Cricetulus griseus: one gene and its partners. The protein of the gene in region 1 interacts with the protein of each later gene in a pairwise test. Links are inferred from orthologs where the notes say so. Each region holds a gene or a part of one and is shown in the gene's direction. Other genes may lie near its edges.

The links. The genes of interacting proteins can lie anywhere in the genome.
Region 2: the proteins of Apip (region 1) and Pdzd4 interact in a two-hybrid assay, tested with the Homo sapiens proteins (2 studies listed by BioGRID and IntAct). The two-hybrid records come from large-scale screens. The link is inferred for Cricetulus griseus from reciprocal best matches to the Homo sapiens genes APIP and PDZD4.
Region 3: the proteins of Apip (region 1) and Tnpo2 interact in binary tests that used the Homo sapiens proteins (3 or more experiments, as listed by UniProt). The two-hybrid records come from large-scale screens. The link is inferred for Cricetulus griseus from reciprocal best matches to the Homo sapiens genes APIP and TNPO2.

Annotation. Positions count from the first base shown.
Region 1 is NC_048599.1:74,576,931-74,583,280, reverse strand, and holds the start of Apip (methylthioribulose-1-phosphate dehydratase), read left to right. Parts: upstream 1-2,421; 5' UTR 2,422-2,521; coding exon 2,522-2,575; intron 2,576-6,350. Other genes in the region: Pdhx (pyruvate dehydrogenase protein X component, mitochondrial), read right to left, coding at 2,023-2,182. UniProt on the Homo sapiens protein: Catalyzes the dehydration of methylthioribulose-1-phosphate (MTRu-1-P) into 2,3-diketo-5-methylthiopentyl-1-phosphate (DK-MTP-1-P).
Region 2 is NC_048604.1:1,913,905-1,920,272, forward strand, and holds the start of Pdzd4 (PDZ domain-containing protein 4), read left to right. Parts: upstream 1-2,845; coding exon 2,846-2,905; intron 2,906-6,368.
Region 3 is NC_048596.1:159,328,396-159,334,733, reverse strand, and holds the start of Tnpo2 (transportin-2), read left to right. Parts: upstream 1-2,815; 5' UTR 2,816-2,968; intron 2,969-3,159; exon of another isoform or gene 3,160-3,282; intron 3,283-3,399; exon of another isoform or gene 3,400-3,551; intron 3,552-3,630; exon of another isoform or gene 3,631-3,766; intron 3,767-4,332; 5' UTR 4,333-4,345; coding exon 4,346-4,444; intron 4,445-6,188; coding exon 6,189-6,264; intron 6,265-6,338. UniProt on the Homo sapiens protein: Probably functions in nuclear protein import as nuclear transport receptor. Serves as receptor for nuclear localization signals (NLS) in cargo substrates.

The DNA of each region.
Region 1 (6,350 bases):
GAAAAGACAACCCTGTAATTTCATATTTCCTAAAATAGATAATATTCAAGTAGCTTAACAAAAGCCCACAGGTAAGAGTAGGTAGATAAATTTGGGCTTCACACGTAGCATAATATCCTTATCAGAGGTCTCTGTCACAATATCCAAAACCATGAAATATGTTACATATATAACAAGAGAGAATGAAGATGTATGTGGAACTAAGGTCATTATCAACTGGTTTTGAGATAGGGAAAACATCCAATATCCATGTGGGCACACCATAGCAACAAGACTTCTTCATCCCCCTGATGGAAGGAAGACAGGAGGAGTGGCAAGAGAGATAGACTAGCCATTACTGAGCTGGAAGGTAGACAGAAATTAGGAGCCCATGAATTTAAGAAGCCCTTTGAAGCTGGAAAAATAAACCAAAAAAAAAAAAAAAAAAAAAGACCCCACAAAACACACACAAAAAAAAAACCAAGGAAACAGAATGTCTACTAGAACCTCCAAAGAAGGCAGGCTCAACTAGACACCTTGATGTCAGCCTGATGACATCCATTTTATGCTTCTGACTCCAAGAACTTTAAGATGATGAATTTATGCTTTAAGTTGATAGTGGCAGCAATGATAAGAAACTACTCATTCAGTACCATCTTCCTTACAGATGATGCTTAGAGACAAGTTGTTCAAGGTGTCTGTCTGGAGGGTGAGGAACAGGCAAAATGTCAAGATTTATCTGTTGGAAACTGCCTATGTGAATTTCTAAAGGCAGAAGCAATCGACTGTAAGGAGATCTTGGAAACTGCCCATTTTTGTATGCAAGCACATAAACTCTTTTTTTGTTAGAGTTTAGGGCATTCAGATGCTCAAAAATATTTCACAAGCAAGGGTAAGACCCTTCACAGGCAATTCCACCCAGTTCTAAGCTTGTAACATTCCATGATGTTTTGAGGCAGGGAGTCTCAAAAGTCTTGATCCATCAAGACTTACAAAGTGTAAGGAGCAGATTCCTAAGCATCCCTGAGTCAACGTTTCAGCTAAATGTAGGAAAGTTCAATTTTCACAAATGAGGATGAGGACGGGGCAGAGAAAACAGTATACACTACATTGTTAAAGACCACTATCAAGGGGCATTTATTAAACATCATACCAAAAATGACTTAGGTTAATTCCCATTACCCACTCTTTAGGAACCCCAAAGCACCCACTTTACTCTATAAGCTGTGTTTTTGTTTTTGTTTTGTTTTCTGGGCCTCAAACACCTCTGAAAGTGTGGACAATGCCTATTTCACCAGATGGTGCTAAGAATGATGACTTACATCTCTAATGATTCTGAAAAACGTCATCTCTGTCCCTCTAAACCCCAGCCCATACTCACACATGTAAGAAAGGTCCTGCCATTTGATATTCTGTATGTTAAATAATGGAAGAACAGTGGGTTTATCTCCGAGTCCAATACCATTACTTAAGAGCAATTTTATGCAAGAGCTTGTATGAATCTCATGCTACATGTTTTACTTGAAACATTCTGGTCATGTCTGTGATTCTGTATTTCTAATTTAAGTCTTGTATGCTGCAAAGGAGCCATTAAATGGAATTAAGATTCAAGGTTTCACAATAAGGACAGGCCCTTTGAATGAATAAGGATGGGTAACAGTGTATGGTCATCTTTATTACGATAGAGATGAATGATGAAACTAAAGGAATCTGACATGTGACTGAAAAGGGTCTAAAATAGGGGATTTAAAACAGACCCCATCTCGGTAACATCTAAATAAACTCAAATTCCAAAGCAAGGTCACAGAGAAGCCATATAGCCCTGGAGGCCAAGGACCGAGTCAAGCTCTACCAAGTCTGAAGACGGTCCTTTGCCGCAAGGCTTGCCATAGGCTAATTCAGGAGACCCGTTCTGGGGGAGGTTGAAGGGAACGGGGAGACTCGGCACCTACACTCACAAAAGCGGGTCCCCAAACAAGAACACCCCGATCCAGGCCCATTGCTCAGCTAAAGAGAGAAGTTCAACGAGCGCCAGCCACTCACCCTGCAGCGGCTGAGCGCCATGAAACCACCTCCAGCTCGCTCCACGGCCGACAGGCCACGCTGCAGCACCCTGAGCCCGGCCCAGGCTTCGACGGCTGCCGAAGCCCAGGAGGTAACGTAGCAGCGGCAGGTCACAGCGAAGCCTCCAGGAGGCCGCCATCTTCCCGGCCTTCTCCGGGACGGCTTACAGCGCGGATAGACCGGCGGCCTCAAGGACCGCCCAGGCCCCGCCTTGCATGGGCTAGCCCCGCCCACAGGGCGCGCTCCGCACCTTAGGACTCGAGGACTATCGTTCTAACACCGCCTCCAACCCTCATGGGCACGCCCACCAGCTGGTCTGCGCCGGCGCAGGTTCTCCTAATGGACGAGGCCCTATGAGATCCCGCCTCTCGCTCTTGCTCCGCCCCCAGGCTGCCCTCTCTGCCGCTTAATAGCGTTCTTGCCAGGAGTCTTGGCCTGGAAAGAGCGCGCGGCGGGTAACCCAGCGCAGGTCAGGGCCATGTCTGGCTGTCACGCTCAAGGAAACTGTTGCTCGCGTCCCTGCGGCGTGCAGGTAAGGACAGCGGTCTGCGATACACAGGGTGGGGTTTCGATCGGGCATTCTAGATGCCTGATCCCCAGCTCAGTCCGCGCCAGTCCGAGGTCCCTCCTTACCCGTAGTGGGGTGCTCAACCTGAACTGCCCAGGCTCCTGGAAGACAGCACCTGTTTTTGAGTTGTCCTTGTTTGCCTTACTTGACATTATGAAATGGGAAATCGTGGAAGTGATTCTTCTTTAAGGCAAATGGGCCCTCGGGGTGCATGGGTTTTTCTTCCGGTTAAACACGCCACAGTCTATGGAATGCCTTCTAGGTGCTAAGAAAATGGTGATCAAGAGAACTAAAGCCCTGCAGAAGACTAAGGGGGAAGTGCACGGAATTATCTCCTTTTATTAGCCTGTATTTAGGCCTAAGGTCTCAATTAAAAGTAAAATACAGGAAATTTTTGGTGCAGAGAATTTGTGAACTGTTATTGTCTTTGAATAAATGGCTTTCCCCAAATTCATAAAGAAAACCTTGGCTGGGCGGTGGTGGCACAGCACTCTGGAGGCAGAGGCAGGTGGATCTCTGTGAGTTCAAGGCCAGCCCGGTGTACACAACAAGTTCCAGGACAGGCTCCAAAGCTACAGAGAAACCCTGTCTCGAAAAAAAAAAACAAAACAAAAAGAAAGAAAGAAAGAAGGAAGGAAGGAAGGAAGGAAGGAAGGACGGAAGGAAGGAAGGAAGGAAGGAAAGAAAACCTTGTAGTTAGGCAAGATTGAGAGGGAGATCTTGCATATAAGACACATTCATTGGTGGCCATCCCTAGGCAGGTGTATGAGGAAACTAGAAGCGAAATATAAGAATCATTGCTAAGATGTCTCCATAGCACAAGTGTTTAAGTCTGCCGATTAGTAAATCTTGGTGAAGGTCATCATAGACATACAGATTTTTATTTTCATCTTAAGTATTGTGCCAGGTTGGTAAGATAAACTGTGATCCAAGTGTGAATGAATTTACCAATACAAAAATTAGCCACACACAAATAAGAAGCTGAAGGTATTTGTCATAAACAGAAGAAGAGGAAGGTAGTTTCAGATAGTGATTCATGAGAAACTTTATGAATACCTAGCATTTTAGAATGACCCAGATTTTGAGGAAACCCAAAAGAAAACTCTAAGGCCACCTTGACTGGAGATCCCATCACATGTCTCTAGCTTTTTCTTGCTGTGTGGGGGTATGGACTCACTGTTAAATTCTGCCTTTTTAGAGGGAAACTAGAAAGTCACATTTTGTGTGAAATCTCTTGATTTAAAAGTGTTGACTTGGGCGGGGCAGTGGTGGCGCATGCCTTTAATCCCAGCACTTGGGAGGCAGAGGCAGGCGGATCTCTGTGAGTTTGAGACCAGCCTGGTCTATAAGAGCTAGTTCTAGGACAGCCTCCAAAGCCACAGAGAAACCCTGTCTCAAAAAACAAAACAAAACAAAAAAAGTATTGACTTGCGTTCTATGTATTGTATAGCTCAAATAAACTATTTGTGAGTCTGATTTGGTCCATGTCCTAGTTAGGGTCACTGTTGCCGTGGTGAAACACCATAATCAAAGCAACTTGGGGAGAAAAGTGTTTATTTGGCTTACACTTCACATCAGGAAGTATAAGGACAGGAACTCTTAACAGGGCAGGGACCCAGAGGCAGGAACTTACGCAGAGGCCACAGAGGGGTCCTGCTTATTGGCTTGTTCTTCGTTGCTTGCTCAGTCTGCTTTCTTATGGAACCCAGGACCATCAGTTCAAGGATGACTCCACTCACAATGTGCTGAGCCTTCCCCCATCAATTGCTAAGAAAAGTCCTACAGACTTGCCTTCAGCCTGATCTTACAAAGGCATTTTCTCAGAGAAGGTTCCCTTCTCTCAGATGAGTATAGCTTGTGTCAAGTTTGATGTCAAGTTGATGCTAGTTTGATGTCAAGTCTGTGACATCAAACTAGCCATCACAGACACATAACTACTTTTTCTCTTGGTTAGTTTATATGTCTTTTAAGACTTAGTTATGTGTTACCTGCTTGGAAGTCTTCACCAGCAGGGCATAAAAGCGGCCAGCATAGACCACAAGATACAAATTTGAACCCTTTGATATAAGCCTTTTCTTAATGTAAGAAATGTGATCTTCGTTCATCCAGTGTTTATTGAGGAAAGCACTGTAGTAGGTGTAGCTTATGAAGAACATGTTTCTTAATCCTTAGAAAGTTAAGCTTAGAGAGAAAACCCAGGAAGGCATCACTTTTATTTTTTTTATTTTGCCTTACCTATCATGGTGTCATATATAATGACTGTAAGGTTCGATCTGATTAGGTCTGATTCAGTTCCTTCTTTTGTGTCAGAGATCATCAGAAAAGTTATTAAGAACACATAGCACAACGGGGTTAGAATAGAGGTCAGTCCCAAGAAACACAGCAGGGTTTCCCCTCTTATGGGGTTCTGAAAACAGAGAAGACCCATGTGACTAGTAGGTATTTGCAATAAGTTTGCCTCTGATTCCCTGGACTGAGGACAGGGAAAACATTTGGTCCTTTATAACTTCACAATCACAGCAGAGTATTTGTCATTTCCCTATGGCCATGAGAATGATGGAGTCGCTGTAGGGTACCTGCTGGCAACTAGGAGGTGGAGGTGGGGGCAGCTTCAGGTGGACAGTGGCCCTGGTTCTGTACTAATGCTACAATCAAAGACCGTATAAATCCCTGCCTCCTGTTTTCCTTGATCTCAGCATTCTGCCAACGCTTACCTCCCTTCACTCAGTCCCCACAACCCCCAACTCCTGGCCATATCTGCCCTGACCAATCCCTATCTGTTCATCACACACACTTTTCTTTCTCATACCTATTTTTACCCCTATGTGCCCTCATTTGAGTATCCTTTACACTGTGTGGCAACTAGTACCGTTTCTTGAATTTCTCTTCCCTAAGCTGCTGAGAACTTATAACAGGGAAGGATAGGTCAGCTCTATGAATTGGTAAATCTACACACACATTATAGTGCCCTGCCCTGTGTGCTGTCCCTCTGGGGAGCTACCTTTCATGCTGTTTTAGGTGGTTATTCCAAAACCTTACCATCTCTCTTCATCTCATGCCCCAAACCTGTTGCCCTGGAATTGCAATGACGGGAAAAGCTGTTAGATATAAACTTTTCAACTTCAATGTCTTCCTTTTTCCATCTACAGTATAATTTTAAAGTAAAGGAGTGGGTATCTATATCCATATTGCCGGGATTTCAAATCTTAGCTCATCTTTTAGTATAATAGGGTCTGTGTAAGGATAAAGTAGCCTGACATACTGTCCTAACAGTCACAGAACAAACACTACCCTATTGCTGGTAGTATCATATTTACCTGCATCCTCATTCTTCCCCTGGTTGAAGTCAATTACCTCCCTGTTCTCCTAATCTCTGTTTCTCTTCCCCCACTCAAGAGAAGTTAGGCCTTAGCTCTCCTATGCCTTCAGTCACTTCTTGTCCTCTAACTCTGCCTCTTAGCATATGCTATCATTTGAATGTTGAATATCCCCAAATGCCTATATGGGAAAGGCTTATTCCCTAGGTTTGCACCATTTGGAGGTAGAAGCACCTGTACAAGATGGGACTAGTGAGAGATCCTATGTCATTGGGCATGCGACCCCAAAGGGCATGCTGCACCCTATGTACCTTCTTCTTTTGTCTCCTGACCATTCGGTGAGCCATTAGTGCCACTGTGCGCTTTACCATGGATACCCTGCACCCCACCAAAGGCCTAAAAGTAATAGACCCGGCTAATCA
Region 2 (6,368 bases), on another chromosome or scaffold:
GAATAACCAATAGTGAGCAGGAGAGGGATAGGTAGGGCTGGCAGGCAGAGAGAATAAATAGGAGAAATCTGAGATGCAAAGCAACAAAAGAACAAAAGGAGGAAGACATCATGGGCCAGCCACCCAGCCAGCCAGGGAGTAAGAGTGAAAGGAAGATATGCAGAAGTAAGAAAAGGAAAAGGCCTAGAGGCGAAAGGTAGATGAAATAATGTAAGAAATACCTGGTAGAGGCTTGAGAGATGGCTCAGAGGTTAAGAGCACTGGCTGCTCTTCCAGAGGTCCTGAGTTCAATTCCCAGCAACCATATGGTGACTCATAACCATCCGTAATGAGATCTGGTACCTTCTTTTTGTGTTTAGGCGTACATCCAGGCAGAACACTGCATACACAATAGATAAGTAAGTGTTAAAAAAGAAAAGCTGGCTAGAAATAAGCCAAGCTGCCTGGCATTGGTGGTACATGCTTTTAAGCACTTGGGAAGAGAGACAAGAGGATCTCTGAGTTCAAAACCAGCCTAGTCTACAGAGCGAGTGCCAGTATAGGCTCTAAAGCCACAGAGAAACCCTGTCTCGAGCCCCCCCCATAAAAAAGAAAACGAAGCCAAGCTAAGACTAAGGCTGGGCATTTATAATCAAGAATAAGCCTGTGTGTGATTTTTTTGTTTTGTTTTGTTTTTGTTTTTCGAGACAGGGTTTCTCTGTGGCTTTGGAGGCTGTCCTGGAACTAGCTCTTGTAGACCAGGCTGGCCTCGAACTCACAGAGATCTGCCTGCCTCTGCCTTCCAAGTGCTGGGATTAAAGGCGTGCACCTCCACCGCCCGGCGGTGTGTGTGATTTTTTTTAAAAACTTGGAGGCAATTCCCCCACTCCCATGCCAAAAGAGTCAAAGAATAGGAATCCAACAACACCAAAAACAGGGTCTCAATGGTCTATCACTGATGTACTGAGTCATCTCTTCTATCCCAGGCACGAGGTACATTTTTGCCAAACCTCTCTGCTGCAACTGCAGCAAAGTGAGGGACTGGATACTGGATACCCAAATAGGAAGTTGCTGATAGGTTGACACCTGAATTCAAACTGTGTTACACAGCCATAGTGACAAAAGCAGTCTGATACTGATACAGTCTAGGGGCCTTGATCAGGTTTTCACTGCCAGTTAAAGAATTAAAAGGTAATTCTTGTATAATATATCCTGATCAGGCCTTGAAATTGTTGAACCAGTCTATCAGCCTATTGTGCCAGGAAGAAGTCACTCATTTTGAAATTTCCACCTTTATTACCATGGCCCCTCTCCTATCTGTCTACCTACTTACCAGGGAGTCTGCCTAACCCCTAACGTCTCAATACCTTTTTGTTTTGTTTTTCGAGACAGTGTTTCTCTGTGGCTTTGGAGGCTGTCCTGGAACTAGTTCTTGTAGACCAGGCTGGTCTTGAACTCACAGAGATCCGCCTGCCTCTGCTCCGAGTGCTGGGGTTAAAGGCATATGCCACCACTACCCTTCTCTCTGTCTGTCTCTCTTTGTGATAGTGTTTCTGTGTAGGCCTCGCTCTGTAGACGAGACTGGCCTCGAACTCAGAGATCCATCTGCCTCTCAAGTGCTGGCAGTTCTATTATATCCTAGAAGAGGAGCAGGCTGTGGGAGGGAAGAGGTAGAAAGGGGGGAGCTAAAAGAGTGTGAGTGAAGGCTGGAACTGAGAAACAGGTAGGCAGCAGTTCCAGAGCAAGGAAGGTCGGTGCCCATGAAGGTCTCAAAGCAAGAGGCTTCTCCTTTCAGCACCTACAGCAGTCCATGTTTTTTTTTTCTTTTCTCTAAACAAAGGTATTCTTTTCAAAGACAGCATTGGAATGGCTCAGTTAAAGGAGGGAACCAGTCATTAAAGAGAGACAGAGGGAAGAGTGGAGACTTTAGGGCTGATATGTCCAGAACCTGGGACAAGGGTGAAATAGCCTCGCCCTGAACTCTTTCCAGCAGTCAGTCCAGGAAGGCTTCTTCAAACAGGACCCTCTTTCTCAGAGCTACACCTAGCAGACAGGTCCGCTAAACACCTCGCCATAGGACACAAGCGTCACCGGGTACCAGGGGTTCCACTGCCCCTACCACCCAGACCCCGCCCCCAGCTTCCCGCGCCGACTCTCGCCCCCGCCCCAGACGCTCCCTCCCGCACCCAGCCCCTTGCCTTCTCCCGCGCGCGTGCGCCCCGTTCCCGTACACCTCCCCTGGCGCCGCTGCAGCGCGCGCGCGTTCCCGGCGTCACAGGCAGGAGCTGGAGACCAGCGATCCTCTGCGGGCCAGACTCTGAGAGGGCGCCGCGAGCTCAAGATAGTGGGACCCTGCGAGGCTGCAGTTGGCGAGGGCCTGGCCGCCCCTCTGCTGGCGGGCCGGCCCGCAGCGCCTCGCGTGGAGGCTGGGCTCCGGGGCTGAAGGCCATGGGCGGGAGCCGGGGACGGCAGCTGCAAAGGCAGCGACAGCGGCGGGCCCCGTGGGCGGAGAGGCGCGTGGCCCACGGCCCCTGACGGCCATAGCGGCCAGGCGTGCTCCCACGCCTCCTGGGGGGGGCGTAGCCAGGCAACGCGTGGCGCGCCCGCCCATCCCCCGCTGCCCTTTTTTTCCTGCCTGGGTACGAGGGAGCATGCCTGTGTCTGGCTTCGGCCAGCAAAGAGTTAAGTCGAGGGGCGTGGAGCTGCCTTCCTCTTGGGGGCGTGCCTCCCTTCCCTGCTAGGCGGCTTGGCCCCCCGCGGTAGGGTATGGCCCAGGGCCAGGTCCCGGGCCCCGCGGTCCCACGCACCGGCCAGTGAAAGACGCCTTCCTTTTCCCGCCCTCTTCTTTCCCTCGCCGGCCAGCACCATGGGATGTAATATGTGCGTAGTCCAGAAACCGGAGGAGCAATACAAAGTGATGCTTCAGGTAGGGTGCCTGCGCTGCTGGGGCCAGGGGCTCAGTCGGGCCAAGGAAAACTGTAAACCCCAGGGGAGGGCCACGTGGAGGCGGAGAAGCAGGTGTGGGAGGGAGAGAGCGCTCAGAGAGGAAAAGGTAGGGAGTCGATCTCACCCTCATATGATGGATGGTTTGATGGTTGCTGATGCCCTGTAGGAACCAGCCAGGGATGTAATGAACGGGGGAGATAAGTGTTCGAGACACATCACCAGGCATCCCAACCAGGTACATAAGGACAACGAACGTCTGTCCACATCAGCCCGGGTGGGAAGTTAAGGGAATTCTGTCTCAGGACTGAGAGATGCTCTGTGGCCCGTGCGGGATGAAGGTTGCATAGCAACGAGCTTGGATCTGGGCACATGCTCCCCTGGTTGGACCCAGAACCAAAGAAGCTGTAGCCGGGCGTTGGTGGCGCACACCTTTAATCCCAGCACTCGGGAGGTAGAGGCAGGAGGATCTCTGTGAGTTCGAAACCACCCTGGTCTCCAGAGCGAGTGCCAGGATAGACTCCAAAGCTATACAGAGAAACCCTGTCTCGAAAAATCAACACACACACACACACACACACACACAAAAAAAACTGTACAGTTCCCGCAGGCCAGAGGGAAAATCATGCCCTGGGAGGACAGACTCAATAAGTAGACAACCGAGCTGGGTTTGGGTACTGATTCTCGCACCCAACTCTCTGGTCTGATGCAGTCATGACTGTCGATTCCTGGCATCTTGGGTGACTGGGTAACGTCGGGATCGGTGGTGCCCAGTATTCACTCTGCCTGTTGGCATCTGCTTTGGCCTGTTGGGCCTTGGGTACAAGAGGGGCGATGCGAGCAACACGTGCAGGGCGGGAAGAGACACCCTGCTGCATCCTTGTTCTCAGCCCCTCAGCCACGATTGGGTTTCCTTGCCTGTGCGTGCAGTAACTACGTGAGTGCGTGCCTGTGCCCTGTCTCTGTGTGTGGAGGCTCTCCAGCTCCGCGCGTGTGTACTTTTTGTGTACACCCTGCGAGTTGTTTAGATAAATGTGTCCCAGATGGTGTTCACTGAGATGCACAAGGGCTAAGTGTAGAGAGGTGGAGATCAAAGGAAGTTAGGAGCAGGAGCAGATGTGGGCGCAGACAGGTGAGTTTAGTGACTTGTGCCTCAGCTACTGAGTTTGTTGATCAGAACCAGGGAACAAGTGTGCACAGGAGATGTTGGCTCTGAGAGAACCTGTAGACTCCTGGACTGAATAAAATAAACTCCTTTTAGGAACTTGGCGGGAGTAGCAGGGGAGATGGTGTCAATCATAATAGTGGGATGGTATTGAGGTGGCTTCGGGAGCCCATCATTCTTGCTGTGATCTTATCTTCATTTCTAGCAGGAATAGTAAATAATGGGCAAGAGATGGTAGGCATAGAGCCCTAGGTTGGTGGTGCTCTTGTTTCAGCCTGTTAGGGCTTCTGGTCTCTTCTACTTGGCTCTGGTCTCCCTTTTTCTGTCCTCCCTAATTATTCTCTCAGGCAAATCCTCCCCATCACTGTTTCTCCTCTCTTGTTCCCACTGTTTGAAGCCCTCACCTCCCTCACCTGTCTGTTGCCATCCTTCTAGTGGGATAAGAATCTGGAATGATCTAGCTTGGAACCGAAAAAGGGTTCAGTGAAACCCATTGGATTTCAGAACTAGGGCTACCTCTATTGGGGTTTTAATGGGCTTGAAAGTTGATGCCACCCTAGGTGGGGGAGTCCCTGCTGGACTTCTTAAAAGAGAGCCCCACCTCTCACGGAAAGGACTTGCCTTCCAGTAGGTGTCTGGCTAGAAGGGAGGCCCCTGCAGAGCAGCCTTAATCCTCTGTGCTCAGCTCCCATGGGATGCTACTTCTTTAAAATTAGGACACAAACTTTCATTTTCTTGGTTCTTGGCAGACCAGCTGGTCTTTAAAGGCATAGTTATCCTTTCAAATTAAGTAAAAACAAAAGGAGTGACTGTAGAAACTATGGAAAGCTGTGAAAGCTATTTGGTAGCCCAGGTGAGGAGCTTGTGAGAAAGGGATGTTCATAGGCCTCAGGAGAGTTCCCATAAACATGCGCACTTGCCCCATATTGAGTGCCCTTCTCCCTGTCTCTTTCAAAGTGACTTCATATCAACTCATGGCTTCTGCAACTTGCTGGTAGAGACTTTCTCACCATGACACACTAGAACTTAAAAGAAAAACATAGCTTTATTGACATCAAACTCACAGGCCATACAATGTATCTTTTCAAAGAGTACAATTTAGTGCTTTTTTTTGCCTATTGTGGAAAATGCTACAATGAATACTGGTATACAAATGTCTGAATCCCTCCCTGCCTTCAATTCTTTTGAGTAATACCTAAAAATGGAGTTGCTGCATCATATAGTAATTCCCACCCATTTCTTCTGAGTGATAGTACCATTTAACACTAACACCAGAAATGTATAAGAGTTCTAATTTCTCCACATGCTTATCAACACTTGTACTTTTCTGGTGATCGCATGTAGCTAGCTTATGGGTGGGTATAAAGTGGCAGTTTTATGGTTTTTTGTTTGCTAGATGTAGTGCTGGGGATTTGATGATTTGCATATCTGTTGGCTAAATGCTGTAGAGCAATTTTTTCTTGTGCTTATTGTTCATTTACATATCCACTTTGCAAAAGTCTGTCCATTGTGGTGGAGCATTCTAGGAAGTATTAAAGTTAGGAACTAGTTGGTCCTCCAACTTTTATCATTTTTAAAACATTTTATTATGTATACAACATTCTGCTTCCATGTATATCTGCACACCAGAAGAGGGCACCAGATCTCATAACGGATGGTTGTGAACCACCATGTAGTTGCTGGGAATTGAACTCGGGACACAGGAAGAGCAGTCACTGCTCTTAACCTCTGAGCCATCTCTCCAGCCCCAACTTTTATCTTTTAAAAGGTTGTTTTGGCTCTGTTGGGTCCCTTATTTCCTTGTGAATTTTGGAATCAGCTTGTTTTCTGAAAATTAACTGGGATTTTGATTAGGTGAAATTGAATCCATAGATCAGATGGTAGTATTGCCTGTTTATTTGGGCCACATTTATATTTCAAATATGGCCTGTTTAATTTGTTAAATTTATGTTAGGATTTATTATCATCATCATCATTTTAATTGTGTATGAATCGGGTGCCTTCAGAGGCTATAGAGGGCATCAGAACACCTGGGACTGGAGGAACCCCTGGAATGGCATTATGGACATTTGTAAGCCATGTGGGTGCCAGGAACTGAACCTGGGTTCTCTACAAGAGAAGCCAGTGCTCTTAACTGATAAGCCATCTCTCTAGCCCAAGTATCTTACTGTTTTTGATGCTATTGTAAGTGGAATTTCTATTTAAAGCAGCCTAAGTCTATCCCAGGTTGGTCTAGAATTTACTGTGTAGCAGGCTGAGCTTGAATTTATAACAGTCTTCT
Region 3 (6,338 bases), on another chromosome or scaffold:
ATCTAAATGCTTTTAGTTGAACTCAAGTAAATATTGGGTGCATAGGGCCACTGTGAGGATTGCATAGGAAAATACTATTTGGAAACCTCGTGGCAGGGACTAAGTGCCCAAAAGCAGAAGGGAGACCCTAGTAAAGTGGTGCTCAGCTGTGGTTATCGAGAAGGCTGAGGTGGGTTAACATTGGCCTGGGCAATACAGGAAAGAAAACACTGGATCAAAATAGCAAAAAACAGGTCAGGAAACTTGTCCTGATTAAAAACTCTCTTGTGGTCACACTTGTGCCCTCAGGAGGATAAGGCAAGAAGTTTGCACGTTGGAGGCCAGCTTGGGCAACACAGGTAGACCCTGCCTCAGCAAGAGATTTTTTTGTTTGTTTTTCGAGACAGGGTTTCTCTGTGTAGCTTTGGAGCCCATCCTGGCACTCCCTCTGGAGACCAAGCTGGCCTTGAACTCACATCGGTCCGCCTGCCTCTGCCTCCCGAGTGCTGGGATTAAAGGCGTTCGCCACCAACGCCCCCGCTCTGCAAGAGATTTTAAGAATGGGCCGGTGGCGCACGCCTTTAATCCCAGCACTAGAGAGTCAGAAGCAGGCGGATCTCTGTGAGTTCGAGGCCAGCCTGGTCTACAGAGGAAGTTCCAGGACAGGTTCCAAAACAATACAGAGAAACCCTGTCTCCAAAAAAAAAAGGGGGGTGGCAGTGAGATGACCTGGTGGATCAAGGAGCACGCACAAATGCCTGAAGACATGAGTTCAGTCTCTAGTACCCACAGTGAGAACCAGCTGTGGAAGTTGTCACATGCCATTTGAACACATTTTTAAAAAAGTATCAAACGGTTTGCAGTCCATACTTACTCCACATGTCCTCTACTCGGAATCAATGCCCATGTTTGATCAAACACACACCCACTCCCAAGAAAAAGAAGATGAAAAAAACAAATTTAACCCTCCCTGGAGTCTTCCGAGGGACTAGCCCAGCACCACGAATAAATCGCTTTTGGCGTCCTGGACGCACAGCACCTTGGGACTTGTAGTTTCGAGGGTCACAGATGTGGTTGACTACTAGCGGGGCAGGAGAGAAAGCTCTGCGCATGTGCAGGGCCGCTTGTCGCACGTGTCTTTTAAGGAGGGTTTCTGTTTATATTAATTTTTAGCTATCCTATTCGGGAGCTTTCCCTTGATTCTCTCAACCGAGCCTAGTAAGGGGCTCCAGTTCTTGTGTTTCGTGAGTGATTGAGCGTTACCGAGACTGTGCTAATGGGAAAGTGTGCTGAATTGTTTCTCTTTTCCGTTTGAGGTATACCTAGCCCTGTGCCTCACCTGAAGGTCAATAAAATTTAGGGCAGGGCTTGGTTGTCCTTTGGAATTAGTCCTGGTTGACTTAGTAAATATTGGCAGGGCGCGAAGACAATGAACGGGCAATATTGAGGTGTGCTAGAAGCCAAATTTTCAAAGAATAATTGCGATCTGTTGCCCAAGTTTAACTTGGACTGTCTGTAATGGAGCAAATTATATAATATCCACTGAAATGGAGGCGAATGGCAGGACAGAGCGAGCCCCTTATCAGCGACCGGACTAGGAAGGGAAGAAGATAGGAAGTTAGAATTGGGTCCCCAATTCTGGACTACTATGCTTTGCAGCTGGAATGGAAAAACAGTGCTCTACTGGTTTCAGAAGCATTTATGATACTGCCGTTGCCTAAATTCTCTGGGCAAGAGCTCTCATCTTACTTCTGTCTTCAGGTAGGGAAAGGGATTAGGTCTTCTGTTCGAATTTACTAGATCATTTTATTTGAAAAGTTATAGCAGGGGGCTGGAGAGTTGACTTAGCAGGTTGAGAGCATTTGTTGCTCTTCCATAGGACCCAGGTTCGAGTGCCAGCACAGCTCACAACTATCTGGTAGCTCTAGTTCAGGAGATCCATTCACTGCCATTGGACTCACATTAGGCAAAACATCCACATACATAAATTTAAAAAGTTATAGCTTTGTGGTTTTCCTAGGACCATGTAAAAGTGTTGCGGTATTGGACAATAACAAAGAACAGAGTTGCTCGTGTCTCTGGTATAACATCCACCTCAAGCTGCGTGTCTTGCTCTTTATTCGAGAGTGGACCGAATGCTGTATAAGGGAACTGAAGAGAAACAACCATTTTAGTTTTTTTCCAAGACAGGGCTTTTTTTGACGAAAGAATTTCATGTTATAGCCCAGGCTTTCCTGGGACGGTATACTGTTGCCTTACTCCCTATCTCTCTGCCGTCTCTCTCCCCCAGTCCTGAGATTACAGTCTTATGGGTCGCCACGCCGGACTGAGAACAGTTTAATTTTTAGAGAGTGTAGTAAGGACGCAGTTAGCTGGGGATTGTGAGATTCCTAGGCGCATTACACACCGGAAGCACCCACGTACTTGCAATTTTCTAGCTCCAGCAACAAGCTGCAGTCTGGAGGGCCGGAGGGATAGCCCAATGGTTAAAAAGTACTGGCTTCTCTTACAGAGGACCCAGGTTTGATTTCAGCATCCATATGGGCTCACAACCATCTGTAACTCCAGTTCCAGGGGGATGTCCAATATCCTCTTCTGGTCCCCACGGCACTGCACTCACATGGTTCAGGAAATACACATTTAAAAAGAATGGAAGAAAGCTGCAGTAAGAAAAAGGAAACGAGATGTTGGGAGGACCTAACGGCCAGAGAGGCCTAGAGGCGGCACTTATCCTGTCACGTGACCCAGCAAAGGCTTTGGCCACTCTGCCAGATCACATGGGAGTGCTGCGTCCTCCCATTGGCTTGGCTAGGCCAGTTTGAACGGCCTACGGAAGCCGAAGTTATTCATTTCGGCCGCGTTTTCTTTTTTTTTTTTTCTTTTTTCTTTTTTTTTTTTTTTTTAATTCCCTGGCTTTGGCTCCCTCCTTCCGCGCGAGCCTCTGGAGAAGCTGCAGCACTTAGGCGCCGCCGCTGCCTTCCGGGGCCTGGTAGGTGGACCTCGCTCGGCCGGGGCTCCTTGGCTTCAGCTCTCTCGAGCCTCCCTGGGTTCTGGGTCTGCGTTGCGTGCCGCCCAGGCGTCGGGGTCGCGCCCGGCTGAGAGGCGGGGAACCGGGTTGGGCCAGCTCTCGAGGCCGGCAGAACGGGCCGGGCGGGGGAGGGGGAGCTGAGCCGACCTCAGGGGGTGGGGCCTCGGCGCCCGGGCAGGTTTGGGTGCCACGAGATGCGGGCCAGTGGGGCGGCTGGGGTCGGGCTGGAGGGGCCCTGATTGGGGGAAATCGTCGGGGGACGTCTCGAGGATCGGGTGTGTGGGGCAATCTGTGCCGGTGGGGTTTGGTTGGGTCTGATTGGGAAAGACAGCTTTGAAAGTTGAGGGGGGTGGGTTGTTAGGTCCTGATAGGGAGGGGCGTCAGACTTAAAAAACCCAGAGGGCCTTGGTGGGTCTGACTGAGAGGCGGTGTTGGGATCCGTTGAGGGTAGCGCTCCGGGCGAGTGTTTGTGTGGGACTCTTTGGGGGAAGCTGCAGGGATTGGACAGATGGGGTCTCTGACACGCGGTGGTCGGGGGCTTAAGGTAACTTGATTGGGGAGCTGACAGAGATCCGTCAGCAGGAATTACTGCTGACTGGGGCGGAGGGAGGGTGAGAGCGAGAGAGGCTTGGCCAGATCTGATTGGGGCAGGCAGCGGGCACAGGTTCTGGGGGCTTTCTTTGGTCGCCGGCTGGGTGGTTTTGACTGGCTCTCGTTCAAGTAGACATTGGAGACCTGTGGGACATTGCTTGTATTCTGGTAAAGGGGAGTCACTGGGCCGCGTCTAGATCAGAAAGAGGGGCACGTGCGTCTGCCGAGCTTGTAGGGCAGGTTTAGGGGAGGTAGCAGGGGTGAGAAGGATCTAGGCACTTGGGACCTAGAGGAGCTCAGGAACCTAGGAGGCGGCTGGGATCTAGCGGAGCTTGAAGGCTTGATCTTGGGAGAAGGAATCCTCGTGGACCGAGCCTTCACCTGGAAGACCGCTGGGGTGGGGCCCTCCCCTGGAGGGAGACGGAAGCCGTAGGGCCCGTAACCGGGGGCGGCGGCATGGACCGCCATGCGAAGAGGGTTCCACGTCGCGCCCCCGCCACAGTTCCCGATGGCTGGCATTTATATCCCCCCGCACCCCCCGAGCCCGCGACTGCGTGGCCGAGATGGCTTAGCTGGCGGGGACCCGGCACTTGGACAGGCGCGGATCAGAGGCCTCCGCTTGCCCGCGGAGCGTGCTTGCGTCTGCATGCAGCCGCCTCTGCTTTGGGGACTCAGCTTGGGTCTCACACAGAACCCTAGCGACCCAGCGCTGACCCAGGCCCCTGCCTCTGCAGTTCGCCTTGCGCCATGGACTGGCAGCCAGACGAGCAGGGCCTGCAGCAGGTCTTGCAGCTTCTCAAAGACTCGCAGTCGCCCAACACAGCTACTCAGCGCATTGTGCAGGATGTATCCTTTCCTTCCGGAGCTGATGGAATAGGGCTGATGTCTGCACCTCGTGAAGGCTAGAGAGGGAGGGACCACTTCTTGTCCCCGAGACTTTGCTGCAAGAGAGAACGTGACATGAGATGAGAATTAAAGGCTTAGATCCCTGGGTTCCAGTTCCAGAGGTGCAAAAAATGATGGGAATGCCTGATGGTCACTGAGCACTTAATCCTTTAACTGTTAAGAGTGAGTGATGGGAACCTGGAGGCTTAGGATGGGGAAAATACCTTGGATAAGCCTCAGCTAGAAACCAAGGTGAGAAGCTCAGCCATCTCATAGATGGGGAGGGACGATGGAGTTGCAGCATGTTTGTGGCAGAAAACTTTTTTTCTAGCTGCTTGTTAAGTATATAAGTATCCTGGTTAGTTTTGTTGTCAATTTGATACATCTATGAAGAAGGACCTTCAATTGAAGAATTGCCTCCATCAGAATGGCCTGTGGGGCGTTTTCTTGATTGATAATTGATGCTGGCAGGCCTGCTGTCCAGCCCAGCCCAGCCCAGCCCAGCCCAGCCCAGCCCAGCCCAGCCTATTGTGGATATTATCCCAGGTTGGGTGAACCTGGGCTGTAGAAGAAGGTGACTCTGGGAAGGAGCCAGTAAACAGTGAGTCTGGGAAAGAACCAGTAAACAGCTTTCTGCTTTGGGACTTCTCTCCATGATAAGCTAAAACAAACTCTTTACTCCCTGCCTTGGCTCTTGGTCAGTGTATTATCACAGCAGCAGAGAAGCAAATTAGAATAATGAGTTCAGATTTTTAAATGAAATGGTCATGGTGGCATATACCTTTAATCACAGCACTCAGGAGGTAGAGGCAAGTTGAATCTCATAGTTTGAGGGCAGCCTGGACTTATGTAGACCCTGTCTCAAATATTTGAACAATATCAAGTTTTCACTTGAAAATGGGACAAGTCCCCTACCATTTCTTGTGGTGTTGAGGATGAAAAGGCCAGAAGCTTGCTGGCCACATATTTTCCCATTGAGCCGCATCCCTGAGTCCTGTTCCCTGGATTTTCAACCATTCTTTCTCCTCTCTTGTGGCTGGAGACCGAATGGCCTTGTCTATGCATTTTACCACTGAGCTGTATCTCTGTACTGCTCTTTTGAGTCAACATTTCTCCATTTAACAGAATAAGAACTGAATATGTAGCTCAAGTTGGCCTTGAACTCAGTCTGACCTTCCTGCCTCAACTTCCCCAGTGCTAGGGTTAAAGGCTTGTACCACACCCAGACAGCCTTCCATTCTGGTTGAGAAAAGCAGGCATCATTGGAGTGTCAAGATCAGAAATGAGTAGCAGCTGCCCTTTTAAGAGGAGTAGACTTTTCCAATCTACTCCTGCTCTGGTAAAGGGATGGTGCAGAAAGCTCAGACATGTACCCTGTACATGTATGGACTTGGTTCTCCTGAAAAGGCCCTGTGGTGCTGTAGGGATAGTGATTGATGAGTGCCATCCCTGGAACTGACTGCCTAATTGCATTGGTCTCTCACATTCTGAGCCGTGTGGCAGTGAGAGAATATTGCCTAGGAAAAGTTCCTATCTCTCGGGGTTTTTTTTTTTTTTTTTTTTTTTTTTTTTTTTAGAGCCAAAATCATGGGATATAGTCCATGCTGGCCAGGAATTCAAGATCTTGGCCTCAGCTTCCCTAGTTCTGGGATCTCAGGCGTGCCCCAATACACCTGACTTTCTAAGTCCCTTAACAGCTTGACAGAAACTTAAACAACTCAACCAGTTTCCTGACTTCAACAACTATCTGATCTTCGTCCTGACCAGACTCAAATCAGAAGGTATGTTCTCTGTCCCTCCACACTGTGCTAGATCTTGCTTCTTCTCATGCCACAGCCCTCTGACCTTAGCACTT